3 linked regions of the Cricetulus griseus genome follow. The protein of the gene in region 2 interacts with the protein of the main gene of each other region in a biochemical or structural test. Links are inferred from orthologs where the notes say so. Each region holds a gene or a part of one and is shown on either strand. Other genes may lie near its edges. The genes, in order: Rad51, Rad51ap1 and Dmc1.

Region 1 (3,603 bases), on a different chromosome or scaffold from region 2:
AATATCTGACTCCCCAGTTTTTATTAATACAAGAACAATTTAGATAAATGCTACAAGGTGCACTATATAGCTGATGCCTCATGCAAGACTCCTTAACCAAAACATTTTTTTTTATGTGAGAGTTCAGTCATATAATTTTACAGTTTGCATCTTACATATAGAGAAAAAGAATGTGGCAAACACCAATTCCCACTGTTAAACATCTCAGGCATTTTATTTTACCATTATTGAGAAGTGAGAGAAAACTTAGGTCTTTCCAGCTTTACTTCTCTTGAAACATAAGACTGATAGCTGTTATTTCATATCTCTCCTCCAAACACCAAAGAAATCAGACATTAATATACTCTATAAGAAATATACTCTATAAAAAATGAACATATCAGATCAGTTTGAATACTGACCTGTCTCCTGTTTCTGCCACCAGAAAGCTGATACAATAATTGTTTTTCCTGGAAGCCATGTTCCGGTAGTCACATCAGGAAGAGCCCTGAAGAAGCCCAGAGAGCAGTCCTCTTCATTAGGCTATTTAGCATTTAAAAGATTATCACAGAAAAAAGGCCCTGATGATTCAGTCCTTGGCATCTCCTACTCCATCTGCATTAATGGCAAACATGGCTTCAGCTTCAGGGAGACAGGGAGAGTCATAGACTTTGCAGATTCTGGTCTCCCCTCTTCCTTTCCTCAGGTACAGCCTGACCCAAAGACAGACCAAAACACCAAGTTATAAACATTGCTATTCCCATGACAGAACTAACTGTTACAGACATGTGTAACTTCCTAAAAGGATTTATAGGATTTTTTTTTTTAGAGGAATCCATTTCTGCCATGACTCCGTTATTGAAAAGCTTGAAGAAGCAAACATTATTATATAATTATATAATTAAGGAGGCATATCAAATATTCATGTATTTTCCTCGCAAGTGAGAGATTTTACTATATGCAGGTGCTTTGTGTCTGTATGTGGCTATGTGCAGGTGCCTGTCAGAGGCCAGAATTGTCGGATCTTCTGGAGCTGGAGTTACAGGAGGTTGTGAGCCACTTGTAGGTGCTGGGAACTGAACTCAGGTTCTTTATAAGCTCAGAACATGCTCATAATCACTGAGCCATCTCTCCATCTGCACAACAAATTTAGTGAGGCTTCCTAAGTGTCTATCCTGTAGCAACATTAAGAGGGCTGAAGTGGAAGTGTTTTACTTTATGTCTATCATCATAGTGTATGTGACACCCATCCCAGAGAGCCTCACCTGGTTGTTGATGCATGGGCAATGATGTTTCCTCCAATGGGTTTTTTGGGATCTGCAGTGAACATGGCTGCTCCATCCACTTGGGCTACTACCTGGTTGGTGATTACCACTGCTACACCAAACTGATAAGGGAAAGAATGTCAGTTTGGGACCACAGACATACCAAAACATTAATGCTCACAACAAAGCAATGGCTAACTAATGCTCATCTTTAATAATATAAGGTACTAATGTCCTCAGGAGGCTCCTACAATTTGTAGCCACTGAATTCTTGGTTTCTTTACTACAGCTTACCTCATCAGCAAGTCGCAGCAGCATCCTCAGAAATCTGGCCAAATGCATTTGCCTGGCTGAAAGCTCTCCTCGACCTGAGTAGTCTGTTCTGTAGAGGGCAGTAGCACTGTCTACAATAAGCAGTGCATATCTATAAGAAAAACAATTCTTTGTCAGAATCTTCTCCCTTCCCCACCACTCTAAAATTTGACATATATTGCACATTTTCCACTTTTTTTGACTCTAGGGTTTGTTACTTATGTAGCCCAGGCTGTTCTGAAATTTATGATCCTCCTGTCTCAGTCTCCCAAGTGCTAGGATAAAACATAAGAGCCACTGACACCGACTTCCTAGTTAAACACAAGCACATACTTTTTTTTCTTTCAAGACAGGGTTTCTCTGCCAGGTGGTGGTGGCGCACACCTTCAATCCCAGCACTAAGGAAGCACAGGCAGGTGGATCTCTGTGAGTTTGAGGCCAGCCTGGTCTACAGAGTGGTGAGTTCCAGGACAGCCTCCAAAGCTACACAAAGAAACCCTGTCTTGAAAAAACAAAAACAACAACAAAAAAGACCTGCCTCTGTCCCCTCTGAGTGCTGGGATTAAAGACGTGTGCCACTGCTACCTGGCAAACATTCACATTTATTTTATTAAAATGTCCTATCTGAGAAGCCCTTTTGTGGGTATCTTCTGTTTTGTTTTTGGCAGATGTCTCAGTGTTTCTATTGCTGTGAAGAGACACATGATCTTGGCAACTTTTACAAAGGAAACATTTAATTGAAATTGGCTTATAGTTTCAGAGGTTTAGTCCATTATCATCATGGTGTCACACAGGCAGACTTGGTGCTGGACAAAGAGCTGAAAGTCTTGATCCCCAGGCAGCAGGAAGTGAACTAAGACACATTTCCTCTAACAAGGCTATACCCACTCCAACAAAGCCACCCCTCCTAAAAGTGCCACCCCCGGAAGCTACATTTAAACTACCACAGCTGACTTGACCAAAAGTAACTCTGGGGTTTTTTGGTTTTCACAACACTTGAGACTAAAAAGGGCTTCATGTATTTAGAAAAAAAATGCCATACCTCCAGCCATAGCTTCATTTTTCACTGAAACCATAAACAACTGTGCCAGAATACAAACTGAAGAGCAGAGATGGCATGGTGGGTAAAGGACTTGTCTATAAGTGGGAGGACCTGAGTTTAAGCCCCCAGAGCCCATGTAAGCCAGTCAACGTAGCACGTGTTTGTAATCTCAGTGCATCTACAACAAGAAGGGAAGTGTTTCTAGAAGCCTGTGGACTTGTTGGCCAGGTATGCAAGGAGAGGATAATGAGGAGGTGCTGTCTCAAATGAGATAGTGAGAACTGATATTCAAAACTGCCCTCTAACCTGCACATATGAGCCAAGTCATATGCATGCCCACATCACATATGAGTGTGTACACACAAACACTTACACAGGTCCTTCACAAAATACACACAATTTTTTTTGTGGGGGGAGGAGCTTATTTCAAGACAGGGTTTCTCTATGTAACAGCCCTAGCTGTCTTGGAACTAGCTCTGTAAACCAGGCAGGCCTTGAACTTACAGAAGTATGCCTGCCTCTACCTCCAGAGTGCTGGGATTATAGGCAAACACCACCACTGAACCACCAGGCACACAAAAATATTTTTAGAAGAAAAGAACTTGGGGCTAGAGAATGACTCAGCAGTTAAGATCACTTTCTGCTCTTCCAGTGGACTCAAGTTTGTTTCCCAGCAACCATACTGGGAAGCTCACAATGGCCTGTAACCCTAGCTCCAGGGGGTCCTAGTCCTCTTCTGACCTTGTAAGTACTGCCACACATGAGGCATACATTCACAGAAACACACATATCAGTAAAAATAAATCTTAAAAACAAACAAACCAAAAAAAAATCACTACATTAAAAACAAACAAAGCTGGACAATACTGGTATACACCTTTAATCCCAGTACTTGGGGGGCAGAGACAGATGGATCTCTGAGCTCAAGGCCAGCCTGTTCTACAGAGTGGAGTTCCAGGACAGCTAGGGCTGCACATAGAAACCCTGTCTTAAACTACCTCCCCA
Region 2 (3,652 bases):
ATAGGCATCAAATATTTGTTCAGTGAGTGTTTATGAACAGGTCTGTTAATAGCTGACAGAAGGTTAAAATCTAAAATGTTCTATCTGACTGGTACAGACTTCTTCTTTTAGATTTTGAACATTACGATGTTGTCCAAGTCACCATATTTTCTCTTTGCCCTAATTTCTACTAAGTCTTCAAGCAACTGATAATAAAATTGTTTCATACCACTTTCAACTCAAAATACTTCCTAAGTTTCTCCTAGTTATAGAAAAGCTGGAACCTGTTAGAAAGGTTGAGTTGCTTCACAGCTAGTGGCGGACCAGACTGTCTCTTCGGCCTCTTCCCAAGAGTTCCCCCTGAATGTGCTTGTCTGTCCCACTGCTCATGCTTTTCCCTCAGTCAGAAATGTGACTTTGTCCTTGGTTTTTCTAATGCTGCTTGTCTGTCCAGAGAAGGTTAAAGGTTACCCTACACAGTTTCTCTCTTTATGGCTGAGCTCAACTTAACTGTTCTGTGAGTTTACCGATGTCAAAGGCTCAACACAGTGCTTTGCACACACCCTGCTCTCCAAAAAGTTTTTACTGAATCCCCACAGAATGAGCTTGAAGGGGGGGGGTGTAGCTCACCAGTTGCACTGTCCGGCTCGGTGTCATTAGCACTGCTGCCATCACTGTCTTCAGAGAGCACCCTCCTCTGCGGAGCCTCAGCTTCAGATGTTATTTTTTTCTCCCCTTCAACACTGCTGGCATCCTCCTCCTCCACAATCTTGTCCAAATCTTCTGGAGACAGGAACGTCAGTGAGAACTCTGGGTAGACTGTTGTCTTCGTCTGCTTCCAATAACACACTACACAGGTTACGCTGGGATGAAGTCTATCACTCTCCCAGCAATAGACTCTGGTTTTAAGGGTTAGTCTGAGACTCTAAAGAGTCATGCCAAAGAATTTTCCAGATGGTACTGGGAAGATGCAGCCCTTGAGTGGTCACCTGCTGTGCAGTGGAGGGCCTGAGTGGTCATGACTGTCCAGTGGGGAAGAAAGGAGGTGTGCAGTCAGAAAGAGTAAGACTAAAGCATAAAGAAACAAAGGCCAGGGGATAGAGAACCTTGGGACATGGGAAGACCTTGTTCTAGCTACAGGCACAGGAACTTAAACAAGTAAGAAAAATAGCACTGTGAATGAACCGTTATTAACATCAAAACTTACCTGAATTAACACTGGTTACACTGCAGTTGGAGATAGGAGGAGACTTATCCGATATTTCTGTTTTCCTATCACCTTGGCTGTCAGTGCCTAGCATAGGAAGTAAGCAAGGAACTTCAGATGCATCCCAGTCAGTCAGGGTCTAAAGAGCAGGAGGATGGCCCACTGCATACACACACACTGGAGCATACACACACACGGACTGGAACACACACACACACACACACACACACACACACACACACACACACACACACACACACACACACACACACACACACACACACACGGACTGGATGAGCCATCCCAGACTCACAGACAAACACACACTGGAACATACAAACACACACACACAGACTGGATGAGCCATCCCAGACTCACAGACAAACACACACTGGAGCATACACACACACAGACTGGATGAGCCACCCCAGACTCACAGACACACACACACTGGAACATACAAACACACGGACTGGATGAGCCACCCCAGACTCACAGACAAACACACACTGGAACATACAAACACACACACACAGACTGGATGAGCCATCCCAGACTCACAGACAAACACACACTGGAACATAGAAACACACGGACTGGATGAGCCACCCCAGACTCACAGACAAACACACACTGGAACATACAAACACACACACACACAGACTGGATGAGCCATCCCAGACTCACAGACAAACACACACTGGAACATACAAACACACAGACTGGATGAGCCACCCCAGACTCACAGACAAACACACACTGGAACATACAAACACACAGACTGGATGAGCCACCCCAGACTCACAGACAAACACACACTGGAACATACAAACACACAGACTGGATGAGCCACCCCAGACTCACAGACAAACACACACTGGAACATACAAACACACAGACTGGATGAGCCATCCCAGACTCACAGCAGCCCAGTGGTTTTACATGGAGGGGCTAGCACATATCAAGAGTTTGGGCTCTAAAATAAGATTCAGGTTTACAGTCAGATTCCATATGAAAACATGCTTATCTTCCCTACATTTAATTTCCCTGTCTATAATAAGAAGATAATGTCTTATATGATTATTGCAGAAGATTAAATTCAAGTGGGAACTGCTTATTTTATGACCAATACAGTCAATAAATATTACTTCTGTATGGACAAATCATGCTCATGCCAATTTAAGCTCTGTGGTGGCTTGAATGAGAACTGTGCCCATAAGCTCACATATTTGAACACTTGAGCCCCACTGGCAGCACTGTTTGGGATGTGGAGCCTTGCTGAAGGAAGGAAGTCACTGGAGGCCTTAAGTCCCCTTCCAAGTCACTCTCTCAGCTCCCTGGGTGTGAATAGGATCAGCCATCTTTCTGCTCCTGTACCTGCTGCCATGCTCTCCCTGCCATTAGAAACTCTTAACCTCTCTGGAACCCAAGCCAAAATAAACTGTCTTCTATAAACTGCTCTTGGTCATGGTATTTTATTACAGCAACAGAGAAGAAACTGATACAAACTCTTTCCAATCATTACAACCTAAAGAACAATAAGGAGTTAGAAAGTTTACACAGTGTGCATGCATCCTGCATTTCAGATTTAACACCATAAAACAAGACCAGTCTCAAGCATTTAGAGAACCTTTAAATGATGATGTTGATAACATTAAGTCCCTATGCGATGAAGAACATTACTCAATGAGTGCTACTTCTAAGAAAAATTCCTGCTATACATTCCAGTCTTTTGAGATGAGTTCTGTTCCCCTAATTTTAGATATAGTATACGATGACACTCTCGAAATTTCTGATTCCTGATTCATAGTCTTCTCAATCAAAATGGTTGATTTTTAAAGAAGTAAATAACTTTAAAAGACTCACCCACATCATCATATGCTACACAGTTACAGAAAAAAAAAATTCAGAGGTGAAAAATCACAGAGAAATCTAGAAGTCATACCCTGAAGTCTACTGAACTTTCTATGAAGGTTGGTGCTTCTAATCTTAATAGGTCACATAAATTATCATCATTAGGTCACATTCAAGAAATTTAGATTTAGGGCTGGAGAGATGGCTCAGAGGTTAAAAGCACTAGCTGTTCTTCCAGGGGTCCTGAGTTCAACTCCCAGCGACCACATGGTGGCTCAAAGCCATCTACAATTCAATCTGGTGCCCTCTTCTGGCATGTAGGCAGAACACTGTATATGTAATAAATAAATAAATCTTAAAAAAAAAAAAAAGAAAGAAATTTAGATTTAAAAGCTAAGGAATTGGAGTGTTAGGACTGTACAGATCATTTGATCAAGATTGGACTCTTACTGCATAGCATCCTGCTGTCACAGAGTAAGTCCCAAGCTCCTTTATGTGCCAAGCAAAGAAATGTATGTGTGGGACACTAACAGAGCTGAATAAAGAACTGAATCCATAGGTGCCCTCTGCCAAATTCTCTATTTATAGATCAAATGAATTCCTTCTTCTGTG
Region 3 (3,652 bases), on a different chromosome or scaffold from region 2:
GTTACAGAAACATGGAATTGTGAGTAATTTTTCGGTACAATATTAAACAGTCTGTTCCATTTTCTCAGCTTTGTCCTTACCAGCCCAATATAATTATTTTTTGATGTTTGTTTGTTTTTTGTTTTTTTTTTGTTTTTTTTTTTTTTGTTTTTTTTGTTTTGAGACAGGGTTTCTCTGTGGCTTTGGAGGCTGTCCTGGAACTAGCTCTTGTGACCAGGCTGGTCTCGGACTCACAGAGATCCACCTGCCTCTGCCTCCCGAGTGCTGGGACTAAAGGCGTGTGCAACCACCACCCGGTCCCAGTATAATTCCTTATTGTGAAGAGGAGCTGTCTGTCTTAAGTTGTTTAGCAGCATTCTTGGTGTTACAGAACAATTTAATCTCAGTATATGAGAACTGACCCCCCACGGGCCAGAGATTGAAACAAAGAAGCAGTCAAATCTAAAGTTGTACAGAATATAAATAAGGGGAACTTACTAACAGAAATGTGGCCCTGGATGGCAACAAGCCCAAGGAGAGCCCAACAAGTTGAGTTAGAAGGATATATTGGCTAAAAGTGACTTCATCAAAGCTGGAATGGGCTGGTTGATCTTAAGCTAATACCAAAGAGACACACTCCAGTGCCTGGTAATAATAAAACCCCACACACCTCTCTAGTTGTTTGGTCTGTTTATAGTATGCTTGAAAATTATACAGGAAAAAGGAACAACCAATTAGTGTTACTCTGGGAAATCATGGAGTTACAACTCACAGATCTCTGTAGTCACATCAAACTGAATTCATACACCTGACCTCTACTCATGCATTTAATGCCAGTAGTACTCTACCTGTGACAACCAAAGATGTCTCTAGACACTGTTGAGGATTCCCAGTGTTTAAAAACCAATGGTTCAGCTGGGGGCATTTGGAGCATCTCTAAACAACCACCGCCACCCCTTGTCTCTCTAAATTTAACATTAGGTAGACAATGCTTTTATTTACAGAAAATCCTGTTTGTCCCAATGACCAGGGTAAATCATGGTGGCAGAAATGTAGACTATCAAAATTTGTGGATGTCAACAGCAATCATTGGTGTTAAAAGTTTGCTGAAGTTGTCTTCTGAAGTCTTCATATTAATCTCTTTCCATTGATTTTAGAAAACAAGCAGGAGAAAATCCCAGTCTTTTGATGATGTAGTTATTTGTGTTCTTCAGGAGCAGAAGGAAAAAAAACTTTGAAAAATGTAGAGAACATATTGGTAATGAAGTTCTGTAGAAGGAAGAGCTGAACTGAGGGGGTGAATGTGTGACAAATTTGCTGGCTTTTCCACCAACAGACTTTTCTTTTTAACTTCTTGCTACACTGCCATGGTCTCACTAACATTCTTGGGAAAATCAGGGCACAGCCAGAACATTTGGCAACCTGCTGGGTATGTTCTACTCTGATATTTCCAGAACATTTGGCTAAGTGGTGGGTGGGTTCCACCTGGTTGCTTGTGTAAAATTAGCATCATGATGGAAGGAGATGGACACGAAGCTCATGACATAGTACAGGAGACTTTCAGGCTGGCATTTTATCAATCTGCTATGCCCATTCTTTTATTTCAGAATATGGCTGATATTAAGAAACTGAAGTCTGTAGGAATCTGTACCATTAAAGGGATACAAATGACAACAAGAAGAGCCCTCTGCAACGTCAAAGGGCTCTCAGAAGCCAAAGTGGACAAGATTAAAGAGGCAGCCAACAAACTTATTGTAAGCCAAATTCATTTTTTTTTTGCTGTTTTAGTTTAGCAGAGTTGTCTTTGTAGCCTATATCATAAACACTAGAAACTACAATAGGAACCTTAAGTTCCTGTAGATCACAATATATTATACTCCCAGTGTTACCTGCTTATTACCTCAATCCCAAAGCCACAGCAATTAGTTTCTGGAAGTCTAAGGTAAGCATAGAAACATAGACTGGCCCTGAGATTCATTCCTAGAACCCACATGATAGAAATAGACACCACAATATCACCCCTAATACACACACAGTTAAACACTTAGAGTTAAAGTAATTAAAAATCTAAAAAGAAAATCTGGTTTTATTTTGTTTTTAAAGATACTTGGAATACTATTGAAGGTAATTACTTTACCAAAACTTTTTCTCTGCCGTGTGTTTGTTTTTATCTGTCCCCTCCTTAGTTTGGTCTTTTTTCTCATATATGCCTATAGCAGCTCAGAAGCTCAGTGTTAAAAGAATTTTCTCTTTCCTGGAATAGGCCAGGTAAGACAGCCCTGGATTGGAGAAAGATTAGCATCAGCTGGGTCTATGTGTGTGCAGCTGAAATAGATATAACCATGAATGTGTTCAATGTGTTACATGAATGAGGCAACCGAGTTCATAATCTATACCTTTCATTGGCACCATGGACTGAAAGTAGTCAGGCTGTCAGGAAAAGGCATATAGCCTTAGACCTGAATTCTCCTGTAGAGTTATGGGGATCATCAGAGGACCCTATTTTTAGTGTAGAAATAGGAATGTACAGAAAAGTAGTCACCAAGTAGCCCTCTCTACAGAAGACCAAGGCTTTCTATTTATCTGTATGTTGGCAGGTGTGTGTGGGGGCTACTTGCACTTAATGGCAACAAGTGGAAGTCAGAGAACAATTTTGTGGAGTTGACTCTCAACTTTGACCTTTAGTTGGGTTTTGGGATTGACCAAGGTCAAGTTCAAACCTTGCTCTTTTACCCAATGAGTCATTTTACCATCCCCCATAGTCATCTTATCTTTAAAAGCTAAATCTCGTTATTTGTGTGTGTGTGTGTGTGTGTGTGTGTGTGTGTGTGTGTGTGTGTGTGTGTGTGTGCAGGTATGTATGCATATGTGTACACATGTGTGGAAACCTCATATATAATCCCTTGGGCACCATTTACTTTTTTTGGGGGGTAGGGTTTCTCACTGTCCTAGTACTCATGAAGTCGGCTAGGCTGACTGTCCAGTGAGCTCCAAGAATCCACCTTGTCTGTCTCCTTCCTTCATGCTTAGATTACAAGTGCACTACTTTCTGTTTTCTTTACATGAGTTCTGGGGACTGAATTTAGATCCTTGTGCTTGCATAATAAAAGTTTACTAACTGAACTATCTGTCTGACCCCTAAATCTCAAGTGCATGTATGGTGTATATACATGTGTTCGGATACATGTGCCTATTGTGCATGTAGAGGCATCCTGGGTCTTCCTCTATTACTCTCCACCTTGTTTTTTATTATTTATTTATTTTTATTTTATGTACGTTGATATTTTGTCTGTATGATGGTGTCAGATCCCCTGGAGGTAGAGTTTCAGGCAGTTGTCAGCTGTCATGTGGGTACTGAGAATTGAGCTCAGGTCCTCTGGAAGAGCAGCCAGTTCTCTTAACTGCTGGGCCATCTTTCCAGCCCTTCTGCCTTGTTTTTGAGACAAAGTCTCTTAACAGAACCTGAGGTTTAGTTTTGGCTAGCCTGGCTGACCAGTGAGCTCCTGGGAGCCACCTCTCTTCATGTCCCAGTGCTGGGTTACAAATACAAACAGCCATACCAAGCTTTTTACATAGCTGCTGGGGATTTTAACTCAAGTTTTCTTGCCTACATAGCAACCATAAATTTCATTATTCAAGGAAAACAAAACACCTTTTTGCATCCAGAGTCTCA

What was found.
Region 1: the proteins of Rad51ap1 (region 2) and Rad51 form a complex in vitro, tested with the Homo sapiens proteins (6 studies listed by BioGRID and IntAct). The link is inferred for Cricetulus griseus from reciprocal best matches to the Homo sapiens genes RAD51AP1 and RAD51.
Region 3: the proteins of Rad51ap1 (region 2) and Dmc1 form a complex in vitro, tested with the Homo sapiens proteins (2 studies listed by BioGRID and IntAct). The link is inferred for Cricetulus griseus from reciprocal best matches to the Homo sapiens genes RAD51AP1 and DMC1.

Annotation. Positions count from the first base shown.
Region 1 is NC_048599.1:59,354,220-59,357,822, forward strand, and holds the end of Rad51 (DNA repair protein RAD51 homolog 1), read right to left. Parts: intron 1,669-3,603; coding exon 1,539-1,668; intron 1,367-1,538; coding exon 1,245-1,366; intron 693-1,244; coding exon 569-692; downstream 1-568.
Region 2 is NC_048601.1:19,527,589-19,531,240, reverse strand, and holds part of Rad51ap1 (RAD51-associated protein 1), read right to left. Parts: intron 1,274-3,652; coding exon 1,187-1,273; intron 829-1,186; coding exon 610-828; intron 1-609. UniProt on the Homo sapiens protein: Structure-specific DNA-binding protein involved in DNA repair by promoting RAD51-mediated homologous recombination.
Region 3 is NC_048595.1:376,761,000-376,764,651, reverse strand, and holds part of Dmc1 (meiotic recombination protein DMC1/LIM15 homolog), read left to right. Parts: coding exon 1-19; intron 20-1,586; coding exon 1,587-1,733; intron 1,734-3,652. UniProt on the Homo sapiens protein: Participates in meiotic recombination, specifically in homologous strand assimilation, which is required for the resolution of meiotic double-strand breaks.